4 linked regions of the Mytilus edulis genome follow. The protein of the gene in region 2 purifies or fractionates together with the protein of the main gene of each other region. This does not show direct contact. Links are inferred from orthologs where the notes say so. Each region holds a gene or a part of one and is shown on either strand. Other genes may lie near its edges. The genes, in order: ribonucleases P/MRP protein subunit POP1-like, la-related protein 7-like, putative ATP-dependent RNA helicase DHX57 and zinc finger CCHC-type and RNA-binding motif-containing protein 1-like.

What was found.
Region 1: the proteins of la-related protein 7-like (region 2) and ribonucleases P/MRP protein subunit POP1-like purify together in Homo sapiens (affinity purification with mass spectrometry; 3 studies listed by BioGRID and IntAct, with this or other methods). This does not show direct contact. The link is inferred for Mytilus edulis from reciprocal best matches to the Homo sapiens genes LARP7 and POP1.
Region 3: the proteins of la-related protein 7-like (region 2) and putative ATP-dependent RNA helicase DHX57 purify together in Homo sapiens (affinity purification with mass spectrometry; 3 studies listed by BioGRID and IntAct, with this or other methods). This does not show direct contact. The link is inferred for Mytilus edulis from reciprocal best matches to the Homo sapiens genes LARP7 and DHX57.
Region 4: the proteins of la-related protein 7-like (region 2) and zinc finger CCHC-type and RNA-binding motif-containing protein 1-like purify together in Homo sapiens (affinity purification with mass spectrometry; 3 studies listed by BioGRID and IntAct, counting the BioPlex papers as one, with this or other methods). This does not show direct contact. The link is inferred for Mytilus edulis from reciprocal best matches to the Homo sapiens genes LARP7 and ZCRB1.

The regions. Positions count from the first base shown.
Region 1 is NC_092344.1:124,482,952-124,491,241, forward strand, and holds the start of ribonucleases P/MRP protein subunit POP1-like, read right to left. Parts: upstream 3,065-8,290; 5' UTR 2,922-3,064; coding exon 2,919-2,921; intron 1-2,918. Other genes in the region: 2-iminobutanoate/2-iminopropanoate deaminase-like, read left to right, coding at 3,316-3,380, 7,465-7,570. UniProt on the Homo sapiens protein: Component of ribonuclease P, a ribonucleoprotein complex that generates mature tRNA molecules by cleaving their 5'-ends. Also a component of the MRP ribonuclease complex, which cleaves pre-rRNA sequences.
Region 2 is NC_092352.1:62,370,800-62,378,627, reverse strand, and holds the start of la-related protein 7-like, read right to left. Parts: upstream 3,269-7,828; 5' UTR 3,194-3,268; intron 1,901-3,193; 5' UTR 1,897-1,900; coding exon 1,804-1,896; intron 20-1,803; coding exon 1-19. Other genes in the region: uncharacterized protein, read left to right, coding at 3,665-3,833. UniProt on the Homo sapiens protein: RNA-binding protein that specifically binds distinct small nuclear RNA (snRNAs) and regulates their processing and function.
Region 3 is NC_092346.1:56,277,586-56,285,768, forward strand, and holds the start of putative ATP-dependent RNA helicase DHX57, read left to right. Parts: upstream 1-5,080; 5' UTR 5,081-5,143; coding exon 5,144-5,451; intron 5,452-8,183. Other genes in the region: tubulin--tyrosine ligase-like, read right to left, coding at 267-429. UniProt on the Homo sapiens protein: Probable ATP-binding RNA helicase.
Region 4 is NC_092344.1:95,701,285-95,709,019, forward strand, and holds the start of zinc finger CCHC-type and RNA-binding motif-containing protein 1-like, read left to right. Parts: upstream 1-4,666; 5' UTR 4,667-4,764; coding exon 4,765-4,877; intron 4,878-7,735.

The sequences.
Region 1 (8,290 bases), on a different chromosome or scaffold from region 2:
TCGCCAAACCCGGAATTACCCTTATCCGCTTCCGGAATCGGATCCGATATTAAAATTTGGTCTTCACGGCCGCCATTGGTATGTGTTTACAATGTTGTTTGTGTCAATCAGATAGGATTTTACTCGAATTTATACAATATTTGTCGGAGATTTTCTGCATAAAGCTAGCGGTTGAACAAAATGAACATCGCTGTCATGACTAATAATGATAAAAATAAGTTTTTAGCTCGTTTAATTGGAGACTTTGGTGAACATGGTGAAAAGGTTTGCAAAGTAATTTCTTGTTTTCTTTCAAGTGGAAGGTGACTACGTCGGGCGTAGCTAGAAACCAACTATCCTATTCGAAATTCCGCTTGCAAAAGTGGAAGGTCGCGGACCTCGGACCACCGATAATTTGCACACTAGTCTTGCCTCCAAATTGAAAAGCTACGAAAAATTTCTTTTTCTAATTTGAAATTGCCGCCAACAGCATGAACAGTTGAACTTATTATATAATAGACTACTGACGTAGTTGTACTACGTATTGATGACAAACAATATTCCTACGACTTTTGTCATTTGGAAAATCTAAACTACTTGTCTTAAGAGATTTTCGGCGATTAAATATTTCATACAATTGTTCTTTGACATCTTAGCTAAAAGCACAAGTCATAATGAACTACACAAGGATTCTTAATAAGCACTACTTCCTATGTGTAACTTTAAAACTTTTGGATAAATCGACGATCATTCAAGGTTTTTCTTGTCATATTTTTTGTAATCCAGAATAAAAAGTATTAAAAATGTGTTCAATTAGTTATATATAACATAGTAGCGAGCTAGATAATAACAATGGCAAGTATTTCAGCATTTATTGGGTAGAACACAAATCTAGGGTGCTCGCATAATGCAGCTTAACTGCATAAAAACTCACTTATTGCGCCTAAACATCTTCTTTTTAACAAATTTTATTACATTCTGAAGCGGCACAAAAGCCAGAAAAAGCCTGGTGTTTATGTTTGACGCCGGAAGCATACCTATGACGTCCCCTAGTGTAGGGACCAAAAAAGATAACATTTTTTCACGGAATTTTCTTTTATGAAGATTTTACACTGAAATAATGATTGAAATTTAATTATAAACTTGTTTTGCATTAGAATAGAGATAACTGTATTGTATTTGAAGCTTTTCGGGCGTCCATTGGTAGTTTTACTGTCGCAAATACGAGTTTACCTGTCTCCGCTCAGCGTCGCCAGGTAAACTAAATTTGCGACAATAAAACTACCGATGGACGTCCTTAAAGCTTCAAATACAATACAATTATCTCTTAAACAGCAAAAATTCATAAAAATAAACAATTCAGGGGCAACAACCTATAAACAACGCATTGTCAGATTCATCTGAAAATTTCAGGGCAGATAGATCTTGACCTGATAAACAATTTAGATTTGCTCTAAATGCTTTGTTTTTTGAGTTATAAGCCAAAAACTGCATTTTACCCCTATATTCTAATTCAACTGGAATTTGAATTAAAATTGGGCGCGAACATGTAGAGAGCGAACGTGCACCCCGCGAGGTGCGAACATGAAGGGTGCGAAAGTGTATTCTTCTTCTTCTTCTTTATAATTCAGCACTCCATCAACATACTGATGATAACGTGCCGGGCACTGATTTTACTATGCCACGCGTGCGTGGATATAAATTTTATTTACAGTGAAAAAATACAAAAATAAAAATAAAAATTTCAACATTTATAACTTCTTTTTCTTCTGTTTTTGTACTATACATTTTGGTTAAAACTATATACATTGTGGAATTTATTTAAATGTTTATTGAGAACAGATATTGGAATCTGTTCTTGGAAGCTTTCAAGAGTAGTACATTGAACTGCAGCTACTGGGAGAAGGTTCCATTGCAAGATTGTTCTAGGGTAGAATGAGTACTTGTATGAGTCTTTAGTGGTTTGTATGGGTCTGAAAGAGTAAATATGTGAATGTTGTCGTGTTCTTGTATCAGATTGTGTAAGTAGGTCTGTCGGATATATGGCAACAAGATGATGTATAATTTTGTAGAGGAAAATGATGCGGTTTGTAGCATTTCAGTGACTGAGCTGGTGTTATGGTATCTGTTGCAGGTGTACCTTGCTGCTCTGCGCTGGACCATCTCAAGTTGGTGTGTTTGAGATTTGGTGTGCGAGTCCCAGACGCAGCTGCTGTATTCTAGCTTTGGTCTTACTAGTGCAATGTATGCTTTTTCTTTGACTGTTTTTGAGTTGACTTTTAGATTTCTTTTAATAAAGTTCAGCTTTTGTGTGGCTGCAGCTGTGATATTGTTTACATGTTTGTTCCATTTGAGATCAGTTTGTATAGTTATTCCAAGATATTTTGTGGATGTTTCTTTTTGAAGTACATGTTGGTGGAGAGTATAGTCAAAATTTAATGGGGTTTTCTTAGTTGTTATCTGAAGGACTGAGCACTTGTCTGGATGGAATGACATGAGCCAGTCCTTCTCCCATTTTGCAGCTGATGTGAGATCTTCTTGCAGTTTTTGTGTGTCTTCTTTCTTTCGTATTGTTTTATAAATTATGCTATCATCTGCAAATAATCTGAGGGTACTGTGTTTGATGTATTCGTTAAAGTCATTTATGTATACAAGGAAAAGGATCGGACCCAAAACTGTTCCTTGGGGAACACCAGATGTTACGTTTATTTTGTCTTCACTGAACACCATCAATGATCACTGTTTGTGTCCGAGATGTGAGAAAATCTTCTATCCATTTTAAGGTGTTGTCATCAATGCCATAATGTTTTAGTTTGTAGAGAAGTCTTTTGTGAGGAATTGTATTGTATTGGGCGCGAACGGACCTAATACCAGTAACTATCTACTATATTTGAGGTATTTTTCCTTAAAATACATAAAACAAACATGTTAAATCATACCATGGTCCTGTAAAGAGTATTGTTTTCTGCTTGACAAATCTAATTCACTATATTTGACCAACTTTAATCCGCTTACATCTTTTTGTACATGTTTCTAATGGGCGCAGACATTTTATTGTACACGACAGACGATTCACTTCCGGAATAAATGATATATTATTTCACCACCAAAGATATAATGTCATCGTTTAAAACATATGCTATGACCAGAAAATGAAAACCATTATTATAAAAAAAATCTTAGTTTACAAAACCAAATGTAAACATGTGGCATGAACTTAAATAAATAACAGATCAATGCTCAGGATCGCGCTTCATAAGAACCGTTTTATTCCTGGATTACCTCCCATATGACAAGGACAAACAATTAAACTGAGCTGACCAAACACATTGAAATATGGCAGGAATTGTAAGAAAGATAATAAAGACAGTAAAGGCTCCAGCTGCTATTGGACCATACAGGTGATTCTCTTTGCTGAATATTTGAAAAACCTCAATGTGCACCTTTGGTCACCTGAGGCTGAGCAATTTTACTTATTAACCTTTATACTTTTATTAAATATTATAATTTGCTGTTTTCACAAGTTACTCTGATAACATTGTTGGTCTGAGTATCCTTGTTATTAAGTTACTGAATTCCAGGTGGAAGTTTAACTTAAAAGTAAACACATTCTTGTTAATAGATATATCATATAGGAAGATGTGGTGTGAGTGCCAATGAGACAACTCTCCATCCACATAACAATTTAAAAAGTAAACCATTATAGGTTAAAGTACGGCCTTCAACACGGAGCCTTGGCTCACACCGAACAACAAGCTATAAAGGGCCCCAAAATGGATGAAATTTGAAAAAAATAGGCAGGTCAGGAGTTTTGAGTAAAGAAAATGGCAGGATGAGACACTTGCAAAAGAAAAAAAGTCAGGACAACAATTTAGGTAAAAAAAAAGGCAGGTTCGAACAGAGTGAAAAATAAAAAGGCAGGACAGAGATTAAAGCTAAAAAAAATGCAGGACATAATTTTTCATCCTAGCCAACCCCCCACCCCCACCATAAAAATAAAATGGTAGCTCCCTAAAAGCCAATGATTGAATACAAACCCTTTAGTCCTGTAATCTTTTTTTTAATTTTTTTTTTTCTACATTATTTGGTCTGTAATCATGGTAATCAATGATTCATAGGAGTCCATTTCATCTAGTGATGCTGTAAAGTAAGTGGTCTCAGAGTCTTTAAAAAGTGACCGAGTCGTGGTATAATATCAACTGATCAAATTAAGATTTAACCTCAAACTAATTTGCAACAGAAAATGTTTTAGTTCTAATCTATAGCATTATGCCCTTAATATACACAGAAAAAAAGTCCCATTAAATCTAACTTGAGGGGGGAAAAAAATAAGCATTTTTAATTTTCTATGGAAATTAACATTGGAAGGGGAGATAACTCAACAAACATGAGTCTTTTTTGGTCAGTTTTTGGTTGCTTTTCCTGAAATTTATGTAAAGTATGATACATTGATGGGGTTATAAGTTTGTATTTGACTAAATCATATAATCCTCTGCTCATGAGATGTACAAAAGCGAAGTGTTATGGGTAGTTCAATTTTTTTTGAGCATTTTTCATTAAAGAAATCGCAAATTTGAAGCTTTGTGACCATTTTAAAAATATAATGTGAAAATTTGGTATTGTTTATATCTATATATTATATTTTTTCAGTATTTTACTTTTCTAAAGAGACTTTAAACCACAAAAAGAAGAATACATGCTTAATTATTTTTATTAAAATTGAGATTCTTTATCTTGACAGGTTGAAAAATTTAATTAATAGTCCATAATATGAACTACGAAATCTAGATTATAGCTTGATAAAAGATATTAAAACCTCTTTGGAGTTGTTTTTTATACTCTAAAGACCGCTAAAAAATCAAGAATCAATGCATTCTGATGAATAGAAGCGGTAAAGTTATAATTTTGTATCAATTTTTATTGATATTGGATTATTTCTGCCTGTTTTGCAATAGTTACATGTATCTCCCTTTTCAATGCAAATCTCCAAATGACAAATTTTAAATGGTGATTTTTTTAGTCCTCCTCAAGTAAGATTAAATGGGACTTATTTCAGTGTATTTTTGTGGTATAATGCTAAAGATTAAACTTAAAAATCATCTGTTGCAATTACTTTCAGGTCAGGGTCAAATTTATGCTATCTAGATTGACTGGACTATATATGACATGAAAATGTTTGACAATTTGCCTATTTTATTTTGTGTTAAAAGAGATTTATGTATTAAGTTTTTAATTTGCATTATCTCCCTTATTCATTATGTTATTAGATAAACTAGAAATTAGAATTACTAAATATAAAGGATTAAGTTCAAGAATCAGGGTTAAATGTGTTCGAATTAGCCTTAAGTTTGTGATGTTTTTTTAAGCCAGCCAAAATACTACAAATTTCACATAGATGTAGTTGTGATATTACTATTTACATGAAATACTTTCATCATAATCAGTATACATTTATTGTGTTGCAATGTTAGATTTGGTCAAATCTTAGATAAATCTTAATATTTTTTTGCATTTATACACTTTGGGCACCACCCATGATCCAGAACTTTTCTATGTCTAGGTAACCAATCTCATCATTAGCAAATTTTGGTTACAGAATATTATAGATTCTAGGTTGTGGCCATAGGTTTCCTCAAGCTTTTTAAGTCTGAAAAAATGCACAAAACCATAGCTTTTTGACATTATATCTAAAAGGTGATGATTTTGAAGCCAAGAATATACTCTTATGAAGAGATTTGTTCTAACATGGAAGTCAAGGAAGCCAGGCTTTTTTTAAAGATAGATCCATTTAAGAACCAAATTATGGCCACTTTAAAAAAATACTTTCAAGTTGAAAATCATGGCCATTATTGACCGAAAGTGAACCTTCTTGTCCTTTTATCTATATGAAAACCATACTTAATGATAACTTTGATGTATTGGTTCGATCAAGAGCTGCAAATATATGATAAAAGGGAATTACAATGAGTCCTATTAGGTTTCTTTGATCCACAATAATCGTTCTTAGACGGCTAGGTTATAGCGATAATAAGATATACATTTGTACATGACATAATATGGAATCAAACTAACCTAGAACAATGTGATTGGACATGATTGCTATCTTTTTATATATATCACCAGTGGTGGATCCAGAAATTTTCATAAGTGGGGGCCCACTGACTGACCTAAGAGGGGGCCCACTCCAGTCACGCTTCAGTGATTCCTATATAAGCAACCAAATTTTTTCCCAAAAAGGGGGGGCCCTAAACCCGCCTCTGATCACGTTAATAATATATTGTCGACCATATGCAGTCTTCTTAGAACATATCAATTGTTCAGTAGATGGAGTGTAGACAAAAATGCACAAGAAATACTGATACATATATTATTGAGCCCATGCATTGTAAATTGATTATTATAGACTTTTTTTAAATTGGATATAAGTTTTTATTTGTTAAAAATCAAATGGCAGAATTTGAGTCATATCAGTGAACAGGAATCTGATAGCCCCTTTATAGGTGCTTAATCAAAATTCTCAAGACTTAAATTATATAAGAGTTTAAAAGAGGATAGAAAGATACCAGAGGGACAGTCAACCTCATAGATTGAAAATAAAATGACAACGCCATGGCTAAAAATAAAATGACAATGCCATGGCTAAAAATAAAAGGACAAACAGACAAATAATAGTACAGAAGACACAACAAAGCAAACTGAAGACTAAGCAACACGAACCCCACCAAAAACTGGGGTCATCTCAGGTACTCCAGTAGGGTAAGCAGATCCTGCTCCACATGTGGCACCCATAGTGTTGCTTATGTTATTACAAATCTGTTAAATAGTCTAAATCGGTAAGAAGTCACATTCATGAAAAGGGAGGGGTATTGTCATTACAACATAAGGAACATATTCGATATCATCTGTGAAAAGGTTATTCCATAATGGTCAACCAACTCTTGATGGCATCTGTAAAATTTACGAAGGGATGATTTCAACTTCACCATTTGGAACACTTGGTTTAACTAATAGCTTCCTTGTGAGCAGCAATCCTCTTTCAAGGAAATCATGATAGGAAATACAAGCCACTAAACAGAGTATATATCTCTCAATTGATAAGATATTCCCTGGGCCAGGGAATATCATATCAATTTGGAGATATATACTCTGTATGCAGGCGCTGCTGGAATGTTAATACATAGGAATGGAATGTTCACAATTGGGAAGTTGGGAAGCTGAAATGATCTCTTTTTTCATGAGAAATTAGTTTATACACAGAGGCATGAAACACAAATATATAATTTTGGGCTTGTTCTCATTTTGAAAAGGGAATGGATTCATTCCTTTATTCAAAGAAAAAAAACTCTTTTTACTTTCTGTTCTTTGTAGTGAAATTCTTACAATTAATTTGTATAAAAAAAATATATTTTAATTAGAACTTTCTCAGTGCATAATACTGTTCTGATGCATACTATTTTATTTTGAAATATCTTTTATTGTTTAAAGTCAGGCTGTGCTGGTTGAAAATACTATGTACCTCTCTGGGCAAATAGGAATGGATCCTTCTACTGGTAACCTTGTATCCGGTGGTGTTGTGCCAGAGACAGAACAGGTATGTATATGATCCCTTCTACTGGTAACCTTGTATCTGGTGGTGTTGTGTCTGAGACAGAACAGGTATGTACATGTATAAACATGGTCCCTTTTACTGGTAACCTTGTATCTGATGGTGTTGTGCCAGAGACAGAACAGGTATGTACATGTATGAACATGATCATTTCTACTGATAACCTTGTATCTTGTGGTGTTGTGCCAGAGACAGAACAGGTATGTGTAAAGCAAGAACATGGTCCCTTCTACTGGTAACCTTGTATCTGGTGGTGTTGTACCAGAGACAGAACAGGTATGTGTAAAGCAAGAACATGGTCCCTTCTACCAAGGATTTGTATAGTATACAAATCCTTGCTTCTACTGGTAACCTTGTATCAGTGTTGTTGTACCAGAGACAGAACAGGCGGACATAAGGTTACCAGTAGAAGGATCCATGTACATACCTGTTCTGTCTCTGGTACAACACCACCAGACACAAGGTTACCAGTAGAAGGAACCATGTTCTTGCTTTACACATACTAGCCATTGCTAGCTGTTCTGTCTCTGGTACAACACCACCAGATACAAGGTTACCAGTAGAAGGGACCATGTCCTTGTGTCCGTCAGATTTGTGCCAGAGACAGAGCAGGTATGTGTAAAGCAAAACTGTATCCTGGTTAAATTTGATCCGGTGGAAAAAATGTCATAGTAATTGTTGTCATTATTTTATCTGGAGGAAAAT
Region 2 (7,828 bases):
CACTGAAGTAAAATTCCATCTAAAATAAAAGGTCAACACATATGAACAATGAACATGATAAAACTATGACAAAAAGAATTATATTTTCAGTAGATCTTTTAAAGACTCTGTTAATCCCCTGATCTAGATAAAACAAGAATGTGTCGATAGTTCAGATGCCCACTTCCAAAAACTTTAACCTGAAGTGGGACAAATGGATGAACAAATGAACGAACAGATGAACGGATGTATCTTTGGTGGGGCATTAAATAGGTGAGAGTAAAGATCTAAATCAAAGAGCAGATTGCTCTGAGGGATACAATTGCCATTATAAAATGTAATTTACGTAATCTGAATAGGTACAAAATAGCCAATCCACTGATCCAAGGAAATTAAATATTTAAAGAGTTAGGAATAAGGGTTCCTCCTAGAATTAAAGTAGGAAAATAGGTGATAAGATACGAAGTGAAATACCTTCTCTCACTCTGAGTCTCAGTGACTACTGTGGAAAGTAAACTTGGAATTGATGGTACAAAAACAAAACACATTAGGCCTAAGTACATTTTTCATACACTTGTATCCGGGATTGTCTATTTTGTAACTATTCAGATTACGTAAATTACATTTTACATGTGCAGTTGAACTAGTTTTGAAAATAATATCATCCAGCTACATGTATACATGTGTCAATGAAAACAATGGCAATCATATCCCTCAGAGCAATCTGCTCTTTGATTTAGAGCTTTACTCTCACCTATTTAATGATGGTTCTCTATTTCTTTATGGAAGTACAATATCAAATATCAGTTTCATAACGGTGACATATAAGAAAAACTCCACTTCAGTTCTTATGTGACAGAAATAGATTTATCGGCATTCAGAGAACTCTCGCATTTTTATCAAAACTGGTGAATTCCCTCTGACGTGTTTCTAAATTTATAAAAACACTAAATATAAATACTGCTTAATTCTTATTTTCCGTGTTGTTAAAAACATGCATATAAGTCAAGAGAAATATCAAACATGAAGATTATGAAAAGAACATTATAGGAAAGTTGTTTAAGTTCAATCCCTTTGTTTGTTTTTACCTTTTAAAGCAAGACAATCATAAGAATCTGAGATGTTCCTTAATGTTTAGAATAAAACAGTTGACATGAGGGCATGGCCCTGAGCCAATGGTATAAGTCTACAGATTGCTTAAAAGCAATCGTATCCCAAAAAAGTCCAACACATGTTCATGTCCAAGTACCAAGTCAGAAACCTTGTCTGTGGCTGATCTGGGACATGTGCTTAACATTTTTTTTTTATCCAACATATATAATATACAACAGTACAGTTATCAAATAGCAAGTAAATATATATATATATAAATGTAATATAATACAACTCATCAGAAAATGTATAGAACTTGAAAATAACATAATCAAAAGACACATGAAAGACATTAGTTGCCCATCAGAAGTCTTTTGTATTTTTTGTGTGTTCCATTGCTGCCTCATTGCCATATACCCCACCGTTCCTCATTATCCTAAACAAATAAACAGGACTGCAAGAACAACAATCAAGCCACATTAACTTAATTATTGGTCTACCACTGATAAAGATAATAGGGAAGGACAAAGTACTTATAACATTAGTTTAACCCTGTATGAGTGTTCATGAGTTTGTCCTAACATCATGAAGTAATTTATTTTGTCAAGTATTTTCAATTACTTTTATAAATGTTAACTTTTAATGTCTATCAAAACTTTGGTAGATATAATTATATATAATAACTACATTAACTCATTGGACCATTATGACCTTGAGACTTATTCAACAAACCTGTTGCTTGATACGACCATATAAAGCTTTCATTCTTTTCCTTGGCTTCTTGTCCTTTGTAGTCTCTTTATCTAATGTTTCTGTTCCTGCCATAACACTGCAAAAAATATTATAATTTACTATGAAATACAATTTTCACCTCACATCTTAATTCATACATTTTGTCTTTTTTGGTATATTTAACTGTGAACCCATTTTTTTCATCTATGATCTTAATAAATATGTGTATAAGAAGATGTGGTAATGCATGTTTAGGGGCCAGCAAACATGGCTAAGCCCTGCTCCAGGTGTTGGATTTTTTTGCTGTGTTGAACTTGTACATGTAGACCCATTTGTCATGTTTTTGGCCTTGGGTTGTTTCTTCTTTTTGGTCGGGTAGGGTAGTTGTCTCTTTGACACATTCCTCGTTTCCATTAATTTTATTGTTTCGAAAAAGGAACTACATCATTTTTGTACATCGTATTACTTAAAAAAAATCATTTTGTCATCAAGTGTGTATTTTAGATCTGCTGTGAATGATGTCTTGATTGAAAAAGTCATTTGGAATTCCATTCATGCTGCAATATCTCATTCTGTATTTTAAAAGGCTAAAGGCAGCTTGTATTGTATTACAATATACTCATCAACTGAAAGTTGGATCCACATAAACTCAGCAAGTTTTTATTTGAAGTTGCCTTGTTTGCGTTTTATATTTGAAAAAAACTTCATCTTTTCATAATATTTTACGAATACTCTATAACATTAATCAATATTGATACAAATTTTTATAAATGAATATGTTTTTTCATTTGTTTCTTCCCATTTGTTTGATGAAACATTATATTTTACTCCCTTCCATCAAGGAAAAAAACCAATTGTGGATGGATGAATTGATCCAAAATTCATGGATAAATTGTGGTGATGGGATCCACAGCCACAGCACCTTTATAAATAATGAGCACTGCCACCCAAAGCACCTGTTCAACACACAGAACTTGTGTGGTTCTCATTTGAAGGGGATAAAGATGTATATTTCACACATTCTATATATACATGATATATATTGTTTAAAACAATTTATGATGAAATGTAATGTGTAATTTAATTAATTACATTTTAAAAACTGTGTAATGTGTAATTAGTGTAATTCATATTTTTGCAATGTAATGAGTAATTTAATTAATTACATTCCAATGTAATTGACCCCAAGTCTGAACTTAAAGGTAAGGTAGTGGTCCCGAAACAAATTGTGGACGAACTGGTAATGAGGCCGAAACGTCTCAAAACGACAAAAGCTTCAAAAATACAGTCCTCTCATAACTCATCTACATTGCTATAGGGCACATGCACTGCAGTCATGAGTGGCAAAGTTTACTTAGAAAACTAATTCCACTTAATTAAGAGAATCTACCTTCTTTTAAATTTCCTTCTATAAAATAAAGGGAGCTAACTATACAAAACACGGAAATGTTACCCACTATTTTATTGGTTTAATTTTCAACTTTAACCAATCAACATCTATTTTATATCTCCTTACAGAGGTCTCTGGGGAACTCGATTCTCCTTTGCAGATTTAGCGGAATTTTCTAAAGTACAAATGTAGCTCACATTCAGTTTTACAAAGATTTTTATATTAGCATATGCTTCTTTTATGCATCATATACTTTAGTATTCTTATCAAAACCTTTAAATTTTCTATCCGGTTTACCTTGATTTTGTTTATCGCCGGTCAAACGACCGATATGCTGTTTTGGTCAGAATCGAGCCGGCCTAATAGAATTCCTGTAACTACATCAACTACACGATTTCCCCTACCACACAATTATAAATTATATATGGCATGATACGGAAGCTAGGTCATATGAAACGCACGTAAATTAGAATGACGTCAAAAAATGATGATTATCCCAAAGTTACGTATAATGAAGGAGTTTCTGCAAAACCAACTGGGACCTCGGAACACCAGCTTCTTATGCAGGCAATCAGTACAAATGCCGGACAATTAGTACAACAGCTTATTCAAAAGAATCCCCAGGTTGTCCATGAAAGAGGTTTGTTTAACACTTACATGGTTCACAAATTTCACTCAATGCATATAAATATTTCCAGAAGCACACAAACAAAGCTCCATATAAATTGGTCCTTGATTTGTTATTTTTAGCTCATAAATCCTTAAGCATTGTTCATCGTCCTCCTCGTCAAACCTGGGTAAACTATTTCAAACATCTTCTTTGAAATAACTGAACATTCAAACCAAATTTTAGCTGAAAGATCCAATAATATAGTTTGTGTTTTATTTTTCTGTATCGTCAAAAAACATCACCGCCATGGCTTGAAATAGAACATAGGGGTAAAATGCAGTGTTTTGCTTATATCATAAAAACCAAAGCATTTAGAGCAAATCTGACAACAGGTTAAGGTGTAAATTAGGTGAGTTAGGTTCTATATACATGATATATCAGTCAAGAAATTTTCAGATGAATCTAATAACCCATTGTTAGGTTGCTGCTACTAAATTGGTAATTTTAAGCAAATTTTGCAGTTTTTATATGACATTCTAATACATGAAATATGACATGCTTTTTTCGCTTTGTAAACAACAAGTGATAAGATTCTTGATATATCTATACTTAGCGCAGACTCAGAGATATACAGAATAATGGCAGTTACAATATACTTCCCATGTAAATCTACATGTATTGGAACCTATTTGCAGACTCTTTGCCGATTTTATTTTTTTAAAAATTGCAATAAAAAAAAGACAAAATAATTGTTATTCCTTTTCGGGTACATAATAAAAAGAAGTAATGAACAAGAGCTCTGAGAAATCAACAAAATAAAAATAAATTCCGCGAAAGTCTATTAATGCTTTTGGCGTATTTAATAATTTCAAAACAAGACGTCATACAAATGAAACCACTAGCGTTGAAAGTTTTCTGTTGCGTGAACCATTGAAATTTGTATGATATTGTATTAAAACTGATTTTTGGAAAGATTGGAACTTGTTCTTAATCTTTCCTTAGGCACTGGCCTCCCTAACAACATGACAGGTTTACTACTATTACTGCATGTATTCACACTGAAATATAGTTCCCTATAGTTCTCATGTATGTGCACATAATACACATATAAATTGTGAAAAATGGGTATATTTTTTGGAGCAGTTTATTCAAGAATGTATGTAATGAAGGTGTGTTGATGTGCAGGCTTTTTTTAAGCATTTTGATTAGGTAATTGAGTATTGATACAATACTAGTATGATTGACAACTGTCATTATCACCAAACATGGACAAGGTGGACCTTAAATTACAATGCCCCACCTCCTAAAATGTCAATCAAATTGACCACATTACTTATCAACATCAGTGTTACATAATTGTACAGACCCAATAAACATCTCAATACACAAATATTTGACCTCATAATTGAATACACAAATGTATATATTAGATGTTTGATATATAAGGATGATAGATTTATTTATTGCCTATTACTTTTGATCTACATTACATAAAGTGATTCTGTAAATTATGTCTGAAAGATAAATGATTAATTAAGGATTAACACAATCTTTTTAGATGTCCCCTTGAAGGATGGAACGGAAAATTTTGCTCTGCTGAAATTCGTTGAAAATGTCGTTTTAAGTTACAGCTGATTTTTATTCCTGCTTGAACCCTGCTGTTTATGCAATTTTCAGCAATACTGTTTTATTAATGTTCTTTTGTCCCCACCATACCTTAATATGAAATTATTCAAACTACTCTTCCAATCTTTCCACAGGTGCTATCCAGCACTTTGATTGAGGTAGGTTGTGTTTTATTTTCTATTCTATTGCATTATTCGCATTATTTACAGATTTCAGCAAGTCATCATGGTGACGAAATGTCAACTTAGGATTTGACGGAAGCTTATGAGAAAAACATGTAAATTAAAAATGGCAAATGTTGGGTTTGAGAAATAAAAGAATTTTTAAGCGGTCTCTGCGGTTATTCATGTAATAATCCATGATAGCTACAGATTTATTAGAATGTTTGAGCTTTATCTAACAGGAAGTAAAAAAGAACAGCCCGACACACTGCATATCCACCCTCGCTTCAGTTTTTTAATGACCGTATTTGTCCTATTAGAATTGAAATAATTCATGGAAGCCATAGATTGTTGGAATTTCACTTGGCCGCGATATCCGTCAATTTTATCCCTCGCTCAGGAATAAATTTCGAATATCATGGCCCAGGCCATGTGTAAATTTCCAACAATCAATGGCTTCCATGAATTTTTTCTTAAGCAAACATTTTTGCAGTTGTACATTGGTATCATGTTTTTGTCATCCGAAAACATTTGGTTTCCGTACAATAACTTTAGTATAAGTAAATAAAAAAATATATAAAATTTTAACACAAGGTTTATGACCACAAAAGAAAGGTTGGGATTGATTTTTGGGGTTAAAGTCCCAACAGTTTAGAAATAAGGGTCAAAAGGGGGCCCAAATTAGCATTTTTCTAGTTTCCAGACAATAACTTGTGGAATGGTGTATGGATCTCTCTGAAATTATACCACAAGATTCAATACCACAAAGGGATTGTAAGAATTGGCATTGGGATGCATATATGTTATGGCTTAAACCGTTGAGGAATTAGTTGCAAAAAGGGGTGAAACAAGGGTGTCCTTCTTAATGGACTATTACTGAAGTACAAACCCCCCAAAAAAGGGAGGTAATTCAAACACTACATGGTTGAATTACCTCCCTTACACTGCTTTTAAATTATGTATACAGAAATGTTGTATTGTCTTGAGGTAATAAGCTGTCAATTTTGTTTTAATTTAATTTTAGTGTATTGCACAAAAGCAAAAAAAATAATATTAATTCAAATCACTTAACCAATTCAAGTTCTTTGACTACAGTTTATATTCTGTGTCAGAAAACTATTGTGTGTCAAATATTTAATTTCAAGCCAAATTCAGACCTTTATCAAATGCGAAGATTGTGTCCATTATGTCCCATCTTTTCAGGACCTCTGCGGTTGTATCCAGCTGCACTTGTCGAAGCAATTTATTTGCAATGATGGTTATTACTTGAATATTATTAATGATATAAAGAAATGATAAAGAAAAACTGTGAACAGCAAAAATGTTCATCAAAGTGAGATCTACAAATAAGTTCTTTAACCAAAATTGTCAAGGAGTTATTGCCCTTTAAGAACAATTTTACACAATTTGTTGATTATGTTTTCTAACTTTAAAAAATCTTCTCCTTTGAAACTATAGAACCAATGCCAACTAAAGTAAAGCTGAATGACCCTAAGGGTATCTAGAATCAATTGTGTTTTTTATTTTCTTGTACTTATATGGCTGCCATGGCTAAAAATAGGCCATAGTGGTAAACTGCAGTTTTTGGGGAAAGGCAGCTTCAAGCCTTCAATCCCCTATGTGGTTGACCAGACGGAGATTGATGAGAAGGAGACACACAAATGAATAGATGGACTTTAAACACTTTTTTTTTACACATTTCCCTTCTGTTTCTCGTGAAATTATTGTATCTTGAGCTCTCCTTTACACTATTTACGTTTCTTTTACAATCCAGAAAAATCAGTATGACGAGATATTCTAAATATATCCAACCTACATTATGTTTATTAGAGACGTCATTGTTGGAATGCCACACTATGTAGCAGCAGGGATATCCTTCACTGGTTATTTAAATCAGAGTTTGTGCACCTATTAAAACATAATAATGTTTGCTGTAGATGATTCAAACATCAACATGCAATGATTTAATTTGTAGGTCAATTTGTAACTTCCAAAGTAAACATAGGCTGTGGGAACACATGAGATACGATTTTTTTCATTTTTCTGTAAAATTCTGTTTTGAGAATCTTCCTCAATTGATGATTAATTATCCACTAAAATAAAGTTAATGTAACTGAACACTTTTAAAAAATGTGACATTTAGTATATAAGTAGTCTTCCATTAAACTAAATATTGTGTACCAACAAAATCATTGTAATGGTAAAAAAAAAATTAATTAAAAATGTCATGAATGTTGC
Region 3 (8,183 bases), on a different chromosome or scaffold from region 2:
AATTCATTAGGGTGTAAAAGGGTTGACCAAAGCTTCATTCTAAAAATGTGTGCCAGTCAACGCTTTTACAACCCTATGAAATTACAAAAAGAAGCATTCAATACTTATAATTACATTTTTTAGATAGGATCATGAAAACACGATTTCAATCAAGGGTTTCTTTAATTTTTTCTGTGCACTTTATTGTGGGACCTCGTGCCATCATGAATGTTACGTTTCATTGTGTAATGAATGTCAATTTCAGAAGGTCTAGAGATTATACCAACCTAATCTACCAAATGGCAATTTATTTCTTTCCCCAAACATCAGATTAAATGATGCTGAATTAGCTGGCATTTTCCTCCAATCCTCATCACAATTCTCAACCAGAAACTTAGAGACAGCTTTGTAGACACTGCTTTTAATATCACGATTCACAAACCCATACATTCTGAAAATATAATAAGAAGTTGACATACATGTAGTTGAATACTCTTTTTGTCTTCAATACATCATGAAATAACACTAAATGGAAGAGTTGCTATAACAAAGAAGTTGTTGTGAAATGCCAAATTTCTAAAGTGAAAGGGGCATAACTACAAAAACTGGAACAACCTACCCACATGCACATCTGGAGATCAGGATCTTGTTATGTTTTAAACTTGTATGAAGCTGAAGCAAATAACAAAATTTAACAAAAGTAGAGAAAAATGAATAAATATATACTAACCTGATAGAACTGTTCTATCCCTTTTCTAAAACTGAACCATTCATTATGAAGTTTTCATTTTTCAACTATAGATGAAGTAAACACGTAAACAATGCTGTAATAAGTCATCTATAGATCCTATAATGAATTAAAAATTAACATAATGCATATGTCATTACTAAAATGCACATTAACTATTCTAATCATTCAAAACATAATATTTAATTTTGAATTGTTGATGTCATCTTTAATTTTGAAAAATTAAATGCTAATCTGAACCAAAATCATGTACATGTATCTGACTAAAAGTTACAAATTCATCAATACTTTTATACTTGTAAAGGGTCTAACATAGATGGAGATTTTTTAAATGTTAATTGCTATTTGTACAAATTTATACTTATTTTTAATGCTTATTACTAATCACTGTATATCAACCTCCCTCACAATCCCAAGATTCAAATGTATAAAAGTATTTGTGACTGTCACAATCATTAAAATAAGTTTCAGCTTCAAGGCCAAATAAATCTGGTGTTTTGAGAGACTATTTTTTTGCAGTGACGCCTTTGTGCTTCAAAGCAAAAGTTAAGATATAATAATAATAATAATAATAATAATAATAAATTCTTTATTTAAAGAGGGTAAACACAGTTAGTTACAATCACTAATCTTCCCTGAGGCCCTCATATACATGTATGCAATACAAGTAAAAACAAAATGGTAATAATAAAAGAAAAAAGCAATCATACAACATATAAACACAATTGTATAGACATAATAGTTCAGTGTACATGTACCATGATTAAAAGATATAAAACAGTTAAATATCGCATGTAGTAAATAGATCTAGTATATACAAATCATTAAAATCATACATTCTAAGAGTAATACAATGTAGTTGCAATCATTTCAGACTGAATATTGGGACTGTCTCAAGTATTGTTTTATAATTTGTTTAAAAGAATAAGTGTTTTGCACTTTACGCATTTCATAAGGTAGTCCGTTCCATAAAACTGATCCAGAATAAGCAAAAGATTTTTTAAACAGTTCAGTTTTTGGCTTTGGAACTATCAAATTACCTTGAGTAACACCCCTTAAAGCATAAGGATTATTTACAGATATAAGATGAAACTTTTGAATTAGGTACTGTGGTGCTTCTTTCCGCATACATTTAAATAGCAATAAATATTTATGGTATTTGATTCTGTTTTCTACTGTCATCCAACCAAGTTTTTTAAATAAGGGGGCTGATGGGGATAATGGGTCTGCATCAAGAATTAATCTTGCTGCTCTTTTTTGAAGTTTTAATATTCTTACTATCCCTTCATTTTACATTCTCCCCAAATAATACAGCAGTAATCGATGAGAGGCAGAATATACCCATTATAATATGCTTTCCTGGCATTAATATCTAAAAATTTCTTTAATTTAGAAAGAAGGTATATTCTTGATGAAATGCTAGCACAAATTTGATCAATTTGGTTTTTCCAGCTAAGTGTGCTGTCAATTTTAACACCTAATAATTTCTCACATGATGAATTTTGTAGTGTTTCTGAATTTATTACTAAATTTGGTTGAAAAGATTGGGTTGATAACTTCTGACTTGTTCCAGTAACCAAACATTTAGTTTTTTTGGTATTGATGAACATATTATTCATTTTGCACCATTCTTCAACTTTGCATAAATCTTCTTGAACATCATCATGTAAATTTTCTATACTTTTCCCTGATTTATGAAGAGTAGTATCATCAGCATACAAGTCTGTTTTACAATTTTTAATGCACAGGGGAAGGTCATTTATAAATAAGACAAATAATAGAGGACCTAGTATAGATCCTTGGGGGACACCAAATTTCACATCTTTTTTATCAGAATTAACATTGCAAATGTTTACTTGCTGTGTTCTATTACTTAGGTATGACCTGAAAAAACCTACTGCAGACTCACTGAATCCATAAATAGCAAGCTTTAAGCAAAGAATGTCATGATCTACAAGATCAAATGCCTTTTTAAAGTCTAACAGTATTGCTAAGTTAATATTACCATCATTCATTTCTTTCAGCCATTTGTCAATGATATCAATAAGTGCAGTTTGACAAGAATGATGTGGCCTAAAACCTGATTGTGTAGGATGTAAAAGTTTAAATTTAGACAAGTACTTATACATGTTATTTGAGACATGCCTTTCTAATACTTTTGATAAAGATGGAAGAACAGAAATTGGCCTGTAATTTGTTGCTAAAACCTTATCACCATCTTTGTAAACTGGTGTTACCTTAGCATTTTTCAGTAATGAGGGGTAGATACCAGTATCTATCATTCTGTTGAATATATATGTGAGAGGAGAGGCAATACATGGAGCACTTATTTTAAGGATTTGCGGTCCAATATTATCAGTTCCTGATGATTTATTTACATCAAGTTTAATTAACTCATCAAATAGCTCATTTATCTTTATTGGTGGTATGGTAAATTTCTCATGTTTTTGTTGTTTTAATTGATTTTTAATAAATTTGCTTAGATTATTGAAATCTGCCTTGTCAATAGATGTAATGTCCCTTTGCTCTCTTAGTTCTTCAGCACAGGAAGTAAAAAAGGTATTAAAAGTATCTGCTATAGATTTTTTATCATTTGTTGTTGTATTGTTCTCATCTGTAGCTAACTCATGTGGGGATTTTTTAAACTTTGGATTCAAGCTATGAAGGCATTTCCATAAAGATTTTGAGTCCTTAGAGTCTTTTACCATGTTTTTATAATAGTTCTTTTTTGAATTCTCTATTATTTGTTTAGTTTTATTTCTCCAAAATCTATATTCACTCCACAATCCAAGTGCATTGTATTTATCCCTCATGTTCCTAGCATATATAATTTCACTATTATACCAATCAGGTTGCCTATCCTTTTTAACTCTCTTTTCAACAACAGGAGCATGTTTATCTAAAACTTTGTTCAACATATCATAAAATAATTGGAGACAAACAGAAGGGTTGTCTTCAAATTCAATTTTATAAAAAGGTGTACTTTGTAGGTCTAAAAGAAATTCATTTTGATCAAATTTTTTGAAATTCCTGTATGTTATTGTACTGTGTGAATTCTTTTTGTCTTTATTAACTTCTTTCCTTGTTAAACAAATAGGATAATGGTCACTAATTGCTAATTTACAGACATGTGATTCCTGTACCTTATCTAGATTACTGACATAGATATGATCAATCAATGTACTGGTATCCTTTGTGACCCTTGTAGCATCTACAATCAATTGTTGAAGATTAAATGCTTCTAAAACATTCAACCATTTTTGAGGAGGTTTGCTTGGTGCTTTAAAATTCATATTAAAATCCCCCAATAATATAATATCTGAATTAATGGTCACTGCCATTCCTAGTTCTTTTTCAAAATCATCAATCCAATCTATTGTTGACTTTGGAGGTCTGTACACAAAACATAGTAAAAATGATTTTTTATAATCTGGTTTTACCTCAAACCACATTGTTTCAATACCTCCTATTTCAATGTTGTTTTGTCTTGAAAATTTTATTTTTTCAGAAAAATAAACAATTAAACCACCCCCACCCTGGGAAGTTCTGTCTTTTCTTTCAGATAAGGCTTGATATAGCCTTTAAAAGTCAAAATTATTTTGACTAATGTTGTCTATGTTTTCATATTAGGTCAAAAGCTCTTTAAAGCTTGTGGTGTATAAATAAAAAAAAAACTATCTTATCTTTTTTATCTGGTATATGAAGAACACATACCAGTCGACTGGCATATTTCTTTCAAAAAAAATCTATGATATGATGGCCTCAGTACATTTAAACATGTTGAGACCAAATCCTCTATATGTAATACCTGTATAGAGTGACTATCTTCCTACAGAGGGATAAAATTGTATTTCTAGATAAATTTTATGTTAAATCTAGTAAAATATAGAAATCTGTTTATTGCAAAAAAATGTAGGCCATAACTGAGTGGCATTTACACAATTATCACAGGTTTCGATAATGATGAACAAAAGATTGAATGCTAAGTCATTTTAGCACTAAAAGTGTAGCCAAAGATACCAGTGGGATATTCAACTGTTCAAAATCTGAAGTAGAAAATAATTTGACAACACCATGTCCAAAAAGGAAAAAGACTAACAGACATCCAATAGTTCATAAAACAAAAAAAATGATTTGATTTGATATTTACATTTAATCGGTTTGGTAACTGAAGTAAACAAACCATTGACCTCTTCACCTAGTCACTTAAAGGGTTAACTGAAAGTTTATTCCTACTTTCATTTTCAATTAGTTCTTTTGTAATAGAGACTCGATAAGTATATTCTTTTAATCTTTATCGCAGCAACGTTTTGTCAAGGCAATTTATATTTAAAAAATGAAGCTGACGTTTGACATCGAGCAAAAAAAAAGAGTAGGGTTCGAGCTCTAGGGTTCGTACGGTTTTATTTCGTGCTCATGGATGAATTTTCATTTTCCAAGAGAAAAAAGGGAAAACCTAATAGAGGTGGAGGTAAATTTAACCGTGGACGAGGAAGAGGAAAGCCCAGTCGAGATGAACATCGTCACGATAAACGTCAAAGTGAACCCGACAGTAAACGAAAAGAACCCACGTCTGGTGGAAGAGGCCACTCGTCTGGTGGAAGAGGCTACTCTTCTGGTGGTAGTGGCCACACGTCTGGTGGTAGAGGCTACTCGTCTGGTGGTAGTGGCCACACGTCTGGTGCAGTAGGAACCCGAAATTATGGAAGTAGCAAAATTTCTGGGTAAATAATGTCTCTAGTTAAAAAAAATCAAATAATTTTTAGCTTCGGAACGGTGAGCTTTAGCCATCTTGGCGTCCGTTGTCGTCTGTCTGGTGTAAACTATTTTAAACATCTTCTCCTCTGAAACGACTGAACCAATTCCAACCAAACTTTAGCTGAATGGTTCATAGCGTATCTAGAACAAAGTTTGTGTTTTTTATTTTCTGTTTCGTCAAAAAACATGGCAGCCATGGCTTAAAATAGAACATAGGGGTAAGAGCAAATCTGACCGTGAGTGACGTAGGGTTGAAATGTTCTTAAGGTTAAGTTCTATCAGCCCTGAAATTTTCAGATGAATCTAATAACCCATTGTTTGGTTGCTGCCACTAAATTGGTTATTTTAAGGAAATTTTGCAGTATTTCCCAAATTGGTTATTATCTTGAATAGTATTAGTGGTAAAGATAAACTGTAAACAGCAAATATGTTTAGCAAAGTAAGATCTACAAATAAGTTTATATGACACAATTTGTTTATCATGTTTTCTAACTTCAAAATCTTCTCCTCTTAAACTACTGAACCAATTCCAACCAAATTTAAGTTGAATAATCCTTAGGGTATGTAGAATAAAGTTTGTGTTTTATTTCCTGTTTCTTAAAAAAACATGGCCGCCATGGCTAAAAATAGAATGTTGGAATAAAATGCAGTTTTTGGCTTATATCTTAAAAACCAAAGCATTTAGAGCAATCTGACATGGGATTAAAGTGTTCATTAGGTCAAGTTCTATCAGCCCTGAAATTTTCAGATGAAACTAACAACCCATTGTTGGGTTGCTGGCACTTAATTTGGTTATTTTTAGGAAATTTTGCAGTTTTTGGTTATCATCTTGAATTTATTAATGATAAAGATAAACTGTAAACAACAAAAATTTTCAGCCAAGTAAGATCTCAAAAATTAAAATTAAACTTTGTTTGATCTCATCAAAAATTTAATTCTTACGGTTCTTTGATATGCTGAATTGAACCCAAAAAACAAACTATGATGTAATTGGAAACTTGAACTCTTAAAGAAAGTTAAATGCCAAAAAATAAAGGTGAGCAATACAGGCTCTTGTTTAATTCATAGTTAATATTTGAAAGTATTAACAACATATAAAGTGCTTTCAAGACATTTCAGTCACAAATACCAGTTAGGCCAAAGTGGTTTTGTTTACTTTTTTTTATTGACCTTTTTAGCTCACCTGTCCCGAAGGGACAAGTGAGCTTATGCCATCACTTGGCGTCCGTCGTCGTCCGTCGTCTGTCGTCGTCTGTCGTCGTCTGTCGTCGTCGTAAACTATTTCAAGAATCTTCTCCTCTGAAACTACTGGGCCAAATACTTTCAAACTTTAACTGAATGTTCCTTAGGGTATCTAATTTATAAATTGTATCCGAAGTTTTGATCTATCAACAAACATGGTCGCCATTGGTAAAAATAGAACATAGGGGTCAAATGCAGTTTTTGGCTTATAACTCTAAAACCAAAGCATTTAGAGAAAATCTGACATGGGGTAATATTGTTTATCAGGTCAAGATCTATCTGCCCTGAAATTTTCAGATGAATCAGACAATCCGTTGTTGGGTTGCTGCCCCTGAATTGGTAATTTTAAGGAAATTTTGCTGTTTTTGGTTATTATCTTGAATATTATTATAGATAGAGATAAACTGTAAACTGGAATAATGTTCAGCAAAGTAAGATTTACAAATAAGTCAACATGACTGAAATGGTCAGTTGACCCCTTTAGGAGTTATTACCCTTTATAGTCAATTTTTAACCATTTTTCGTAAATCTTAGTAATCTTTTACAAAAATCTTCTCCTCTGAAACTATTGGGCCAAATACTTCCAAACTTTAATTGAATGTTCCTTAGGGTATCTAGTTTGTAAATTGTATCCGAAGTTATGATCTATCAACAAACATGGTCGCCATTGCTAAAAATAGAACATAGGGGTCAAATGCAGTTTTTGGCTTATAACTTAAAAACCAAAGCATTTAGAGCAAATCTGACTGGGTAATATTGTTTATCAGGTCAAGATCTATCTGCCCTGAAATTTTCAGATGAATCAGACAACCTGTTGTTGGGTTGCTGCCCCTGAATTGGTAATTTTAAGGAAATTTTGCTGTTTTTGGTTATTATCTTGAATATTATTATAGATAGAGATAAACCTTAAACAGCAATAATGTTCAGCAAAGTAAGATTTACAAATAAGTCAACATGACAGAAATGGTCAGTTGACCCCTTTAGGAGTTATTGCCCTTTATAGTCAATTTTTAACCATTTTTCGTAAATCTTAGTAATCTTTTACAAAAATCTTCTCCTCTGAAACTACTGGGCCAAATACTTCCAAACTTTAACTGAATGTTCCTTAGGGTATTTAGTTTGTAAACTGTATCCGAAGTTTTGATCTATCAACAAACATGGTCGCCATTGCTAAAAATAGAACATAGGGGTCAAATGCAGTTTTTTGGCTTATAACTCAAAAACCAAAGCATTTAGAGCAAATCTGACGTTGGGTAATATTGTTTATCAGGTCAAGATCTATCTGCCCTGAAATTTTCAGATGAATCAGACAACCTGTTGTTGGGTTACTGCCCCTGAATTGGTAATTTTAAAGAAATTTTGAATATTATTATAGATAGAGATAAACTGTAAACAGCAATAATGTTCAGCAAAGTAAGATTTACAAATAAGTCAACATGACGGAAATGGTCAGTTG
Region 4 (7,735 bases), on a different chromosome or scaffold from region 2:
AAATAAACTTCACATTAAAAAGTGAAATTAACCAAAAAGACAAAATTTGAGAAATTGAATTATAATAAGTAATTACAACCCTTTTTGCATTGTATAAGTAATCTTTGCAGGTGTAAATAGCAAATAGCAAATTTGTGTTATAACCTCAAATCGGTATCAAATATGTACACCATCAAATTGTTAGTGATATGTGGAATAAATTGCTAACTACAGAACATTAAAGAATGATATGATAACTTGTACTATGGATTCATTTATTTTTGTTGGAAACCATTTTTCATGGATTTCGTGGTAAACACAAATCAACGAATTCCAATATCCAACGAATGACATATTTACTTTAGGAGTGTAAAAAGACTTTGGCAGAACCACGAAATCAAATATTAACAAGTTTTACTCATTCCTCGAAAATTAATGTCCATGAAAATAAATGAATTCAACGTATTATGTTTTCGAATTAAAACCAGAATTAAAATGGCCATTAAAGTCATATGATTTTTCAGGTTTGTCCTTTGATCGTTCACAACAAAATTTACACAAGATAATGATAAACTGCAATACTATTACTGCACATAGAACACCAAACATTATCCAAAAATTTCTTTCTGTATAGAGATCTGAAAAAAATATATACCAAAGATAACTTTCATAACTGTTCCAATAATGCATGTACCAAATCAGGAATATGACAGTTGTTAATCATTCGTTTGATGTGTTTGAGCTTTGATTTTGCCATTTGATTAGGGACTTTTCGTTTTGAATTTTCCTGAGAGTTCAGTATTTTTGTGATTTTACTTTTTCCACTAGATTATTTACCTTCTGGTTGATAACTTATTTTTTAGTTTTTATGGACCTCCTCTTTTTGAATTTTTCTTTGAATGCGTTTTTTTTTTTTGTTATACTTTTTAGCTTTTGGGCCAAGTGAGCTTTTCTCATCACTTGGCGTACGTCGTCCGTCGTCTGTCGTCCGTCGTCGTTAACTTTTACAAACATCTTCTCCTCTGAAACTTACTTAGCCAAATTGTATCAAACTTGGCCACAATCATCATTGGGGTATCTAGTTTTCAAAAATGTGTCCGGTGACCCGGCCAGCCAACCAAGATTGCCGTCATTGCTAAAAATAGAACAATGGGGTAAAATGTAGATTTTGGCTTATATCTCTGAAACCAAAGCATTTAGAGCAAATCTGACGGGGTAAAATTGGTTATCAGGTCAAGATCTATCTGCTCTAAAAATTTTAGATTAATCGGACTACCCATTGTTTGGTAGCTGCCCATGAATGTGTAATTTTAAGGAAATTTTGCCGTTTTTGGTTATTATTTTGAATATTTTTATATTATAGAAAGAGATAAACTGTAAACAGCAATAATGTTCAGCAAAGTAAGATCTACAAATAAGTCAACAAAACCAAAATGATCTGTTAACCCCTTAAGGAGTTATTGCCCTTGTAGGCAATTTTTAATAATTTTTCGTAAATCTTTGTAATATTTTACAAAAAATCTTCTCCTCTGAAACAAACTTGTCCTCAATCATCATTAGGGTATCTAGTTTAAAAAAAAAAGTGTCCTATTACCCCACCCGCGAACCAAGATGGCCTACATGGCTAAAAATAGTACATAGGGTAAAATGTAGTTTTTGGCTCATATCTCTGAAACCATAGCATTTAGAGCAAATCTGACTTGTGATTAAATTGTTTATTAGGTGAAGATCTATCTGCCCTTAAATTTTCAGACCATTCAGGCAACCCGTTGTTATGTTGCTACCCCTGAATTGGTAATTTAAGAAAATTTTGCAGCTTTTGGTTATTATCTTTAACATTATTATAGATAGAGATAAACTGTAAACAGCAATAATGTACAGCAACACATAAAAATAAGTCAACATAACCAAAATGGTCAATTGTCCTCTTAAGGAGTTTTTGCCCTTTATAGTCAATTTTCAACAATTTTTATAAATTTTGAAATTTTTACAAAATATTTTCCACTGAAACTACTGGGCCAAGTTCATTATAGATACAGATAATTGTAAGCAGCAATAATGTTCAGTAAAGTAAGATCAACAAACACATCACTATCACCAAAACAGTTTTATCATAGTGCCCTTTGTTTAATATGCACATATACCAAGGTGAGCGACACAGGCTCTTTAGGGTTTTTATGGGAAACGATACCGTTTTATTCCTGATGTCGTTGAAATTTTTTAAAACACTATGAACACATGCATTAGTTACCTTTGGAAGTATAATAAGAAGGTACATTTCCGTAAAAGTAAAATTTGAAGTCTATCATTTATATATATTCATTTAAGCAACATTATGTTGTCTTAAAATATTAAACAAGTTCTTAAGTTCTTCCGCCTATTATTACCACTGAAAGAGGATGAATTAAAAAAAATTACCATTCATCAATTTCTTGACATGACTGTATCAACAAATTAAGTTTATTATCAGTAGTACAGTAGTGTTTGTCACGTGTATTGCAAAGTCAACCAACTGAAATTCAATGAACTTTTTTTTAACAATAAAATTTAAATTACTAACAAATATTTGCTTGTAAATATGATCTGGCTCGAATGTTATCAATCTATGTTGGTGTCCTGCAAAATCATTCCACTTTTATGGTAATTTTGAACCCACTTCATGTCTCACATGACTGCTAAGCTAAGTGTTTCTTTACCTACACTAAGGGAAAGTCTACTAGCTCTCGTCTAAATGCATTAAAAAGTTTGTATATAGGTCAAATTGAATGCTTCCAATAGCTTTACACTTGCTAAAATTAGGAAATTTATTTTTAAAAATTACAAGTTATATGTAAATTCACTACTTAAATCTATTTTCATATCCATCATTTAAATTCATGATTTGATCGTTCAAATGATGTTGTTATGAAATGGACAACATGACTTACATGTCTTACGTCGATTAATAGTAATTTTATTGTCAGTTCCCTAATGATATAACTCATCTACAAGACGTTTTGTAATTTTGTAACTCCTTTTTAGATTCTTTTCATTGTTTACGTTGACCAGAACTAGCCAGAATCCCCCCTCCAGGAATCCCAAGGAACAAAATTCGTCATGGCTTCTTAACATTTGCACTTCATCGTTTAGAAGGCTATATAAAAAGCTCAGTTGACGTTTGTGGAGCTCTGATGCTATGGGTAGTGCACCAAAAAGTAGATAGACGGCACAGAGGGCTGTTCTTTGATACAGTGATGGGAATTTTCTTAGGCAGTTTATGTGGAACTTTCTAAGGCGGTCAATATCTATTTGTTTTAATGGTAGTATTTCAAGTCCAAAAAGAAGTTTAGGCATTACATAGCTCCGATATAATTGGTAAGAGGTGATGGGAATTAAACCATTTTATCCGTGATGTCCGCTGTTGAATAAAGAGAAGAGTGTTCTGCGAGCTAGGGACAGTCTATCCTCTACATTTACGTTATTCTCTTTAATTTCAGCTCTCATTATACCTAAATGTTTAGTTTGGTTTGTTGGTGTTATACAAGTGGTGCCGATATTCTATTGTAGGTTTTTTCTTTAAAATACCGTTTTGCCTTTATTGATGATGACAGCATTTGTTTTTGTTGGATGAAGTGTGACCCTGTCCTGTTTGGAATTTCGTAGAACAGTGTTTAGCATAATTTGTGATTCTTCCACATCATCAGACAGAAGTGCTATATCATCTGCACATGTTGCATGGTGAGCCAGTCAGTGGCAGAACTTTTCATAAGTTGGAGGGGTGCTGACTGACCTCAAAAGGGGGGGGGTGCCAGTCATGCTTCAGTTATTCCCTATATAATCAACCAAATTTTTCCAGCCACTCCAGCCCCCACCCCTTGGATCCGTCTATGCCAGTGTAAATATTGCCAATTTTCAGTCCTACACGGCTAAAACATTACTAGTTCATTCAATACGTTGTTAATGTTAACCTTATATAGGTTAGTGGAAAGGACTCCACCTTGTCGCACGGCCTTGTTGTATTGGATATTTGTCACTTATTTCACCTTTCCATTTTATTTTTAAGGACATGTCTGTGTAAAGATCTTTGACTATGGGCCAAAGTTTAGTATGTATGCCACATTCATAAAGTTTATCTAGAAGAATGATGTGAGAAACCACGTCAAATACGTCAAATGCAGTTTGGCTGTCTACCGCTATCATATTTGATAAAGGTTTTAAAGTTACATGTTTGGATTCTGATTTACATTCTACAAGAAAGGCAGCTATAAGCATAGAGAGACCTTCTGTAAAACCAAATTGCATGTCTGCTTGGGATAAAGTTTTTGGTAAGACGTGGTAACAATACATATTTAATCAGTTTGGTGATTGTTGGTGTCACTGTGATACCTCTGTAATTTCTTCTAATGTTGGATCTTTCAGCTTTTTTAGTACTGGGTTAGTAATTCCAGTCTTAAAGAAAAGCGGTAAGTTTGTTTTGTACAGTAGAATAGCTATTGTGATTTGATTAAAGATGGAGGTTAACATTGGTGAAAGAATACTTCTAGCAGTTTTGAAATGTTCTGCGGAGATGCCAATTCAATTTAGCTTGTTTTTTCGGATAAGAAATATCACAATTGGGTCCTTTTATTATGGAGGTTGTTGAGGTATTGGATTATTCGGTATTAACACGGAAAAATAACAAGTACCACCCGGTGTTGGTTTTATGCTTGTTTTAGTTTCACTACTTCCGGTATTTTCTTCCTATTATTTTTATGGAAATTTTTATATTCCCCTGTTTATTGCGAAGTTTGAAAGGTGATAGCCACAATGAGCGGGGGTTTGGTGCCCAGTAAAAGTACTATATATGTTGGCAACCTTCCCTTTTCACTGACAAATAACGATATTCACAAAATATTTGAAAAATATGGAAAGGTTGCAAAGTGAGTTTAGAAACTTTAGTTTTGATTATGTCAGAACTAAAAATCAGGTTCAAGGCATGCGCTAGTCCAAATAATTGGCTATTTTATATATTTGCTTCGATGTCGTAACTAGATCAAAACTAGGTATGCATTCATGATCATTCATTGACAGGAGTGTGTTTTTATAACTGTTTACCAGGTTGGGTACAAGTCGAGGAAAATTTGGGTACAGATGTCTATTTTCGGTTTTCAGTGAACACCCCGGTTTTCTGGTTTGAAAAACAACAGTTTACAGGGACTTCCTTTTCTAATCCAATTGATGGCATGACATTTACAAAAGTGCAGGTTTTAACTGTAAGAACTTTTAAAAAAAGTATTTCAGGCCACACCAATTTGATTCCTTGTTCGACGGACCCACCCGCACCTATTTTTTTCAAAACAGAATTTTTTTATTTTTTTTATATTCCTGCTTCCCGCATCCGGAAATGTAATCATGTCCATCTCCCGCACCGTTTTTTTTGTAAATATTATAAAAAGATATCAACATTTATTTTTAAAATAACAGTCTAACCTGTATATAACGATTTTAAACATAAAAGCACCCCACCACACTTTGTAAATATCTGTGAGAATATTTGTTTCAGCATAAAACCTATTTATCAAAAGTGCGAGTGCTCTGATATAAATTTATAACAGCGAAAACCTGTAAAGAACAAAATATTGGTTACTTTCCCCTTACTTATATTCCCTATCAAAAAATGTTTGTTGTTAGAATAAAGTACAAAGAACTTCTGAAGGATTTGCCTTAACTGCAGTTATATGGTTATATTGTATGCTGGCGAAACAAAACTATCCATAGCCGCTGCATGTTTATTCGCCTGTCCTGATTGATTGAGGGGCCTGTCGTTCAGCAGTTATCGTTTGTTGATGTTGTTCATTGGTATTTTCCCGTTTGGATATACATGATATATAAATTAGATCGTTGGTTTTCCTGTTCGAATTGTGTACGCTAATAATTTTGGGATCCTTTATAGCCTGCTGTTTGGTCTGTATCAAAGCCCTGTGTAAAAGGCCGTACTTCGACCTGTGTTTGTTTATATTATCAGGTTGAGAACAACCCTCCCTCAGACAAGGGGTCATTTTACTGATGTAGAAAAGAAAATAGAAATACCAAGAATTTGTATAGTTCTTCTATACAAAACCTTTGAAAACTTAGAATTTTTTACTCAAAAAGAGAAGAGTTGCATCATATTTTAAACAACTTTTTCTAAAAGAGGGGTCCACTTATTTTGAATAATATTAAACTGTTAAAGTAAATGTGTTAGCATCAGGTTAAAGTCCAGGAATATTACAAAATTCTTGGACAAGTTTTGACCATTTAATACCAGATAGATATATAGTTCTTTGAGAAAATATGAGCCCTTTTGTACAAACAAATCTATTATAACTTATATTGATCCCTCATAAAACATGTAAAAGGGATACAATGTATTTATAACATAAAGGGGTGGTCCCCAAACTGATCATGACTTGGATGTAGAATTGTCTCATTGTCAGTCACACATACATAGACCAGATTTAATTATTTCTTGGTGAACAGGGAAAAAATACTTCAGAAATTAAAGAAATGTCAAAGTACAAGTGATAAATCATTAGCTTTAATATTGTCAAAACCTAATATTTTATGTTTACAAAAAAAAATTATAATCGCTCGCCTTTACTTTTCAAGCTTCGCCTCAAAAATTTGCAAATTAAATATTTTTTTATTAAAATTTTCAAATCGCTCGCTCGCCCCAAATTTTGGAGTTCAAAAATCCGTAGAACAAGAAATTAAATTGATGTAGCCTCAGGAACAACAAACAGGTTGGGCTCAAGTTAGGAAAAGCGGTGTATTCCCAGTTTTTAGTGAACACCCCAGTTTTCTGGTGTTACCAACCCCAGTATGCCCAGCTGAAATTGTAACAATGTTTATATCTTGAACTTATTTGGGAACAGTATGTTTAATGGGAAGACAAGTTAATCTGATATGTATTCAGTATTAAATTGATAAAATCTCTTGACTTCAAGGTTGGCAAAAAAGCGGTCAATACTAGTATTGACCATGCCAGTGGTAAATACCGGTATTTACCGGGAAATACTGGCAAATATTGGGAAATACCGGCAAAGCAAATACTGGTCGATTGAAATTTTGAGTGGTCATTACTATAAAAACCACTATCTACTTGGTCAATTATAATTACAATTAATAATTAATTTATATAAAAAGGTGTTCAAACCATTTTTAATGCTTTCATTTCTAATTCTATTGTTAATTCAAACAGGGATCTACATTGATTAATGTGTACATAATATTATAGTAAAAGATAAAAACTTTTTGTCCCTGCTTCAAATTTTCATTTCCAGCATGAAGAAGGGTTTTTTTTTATCTCACAGTTAGATAGCTATAAACAGGAAATAATTTATTGTTTAAGGGAGTCTTCATATATCAATTTTATTACTTTCAACCCATGTACTGTCAACTTTTATTGGAGGCTGTTGTTTTAGTAATTAAATTTTCACACCTAGCAATGCCAGGTGATATATAAAAAGACCCATGTAACTTCATTTACCTGTAGTTTTATTTACCTTTAATTTTGATTACCTGTAAAATCATACATTTTGAATAAAAATATATTGATTTAAACATGTTGAAATAAAATATAAATTTGTATATATATATCTTAAGTATGCAATATCATAATTCATAAAAACTAAATTTTAAATCAGTAGTAAGAATAAGTGTTATAAATGTCATAAAACATATCAAATTCATTAACTTTATAAGCTGACACATTATATTTGACTTTTTATCAAGATTTTACTTCATTTAATAGTAGAAA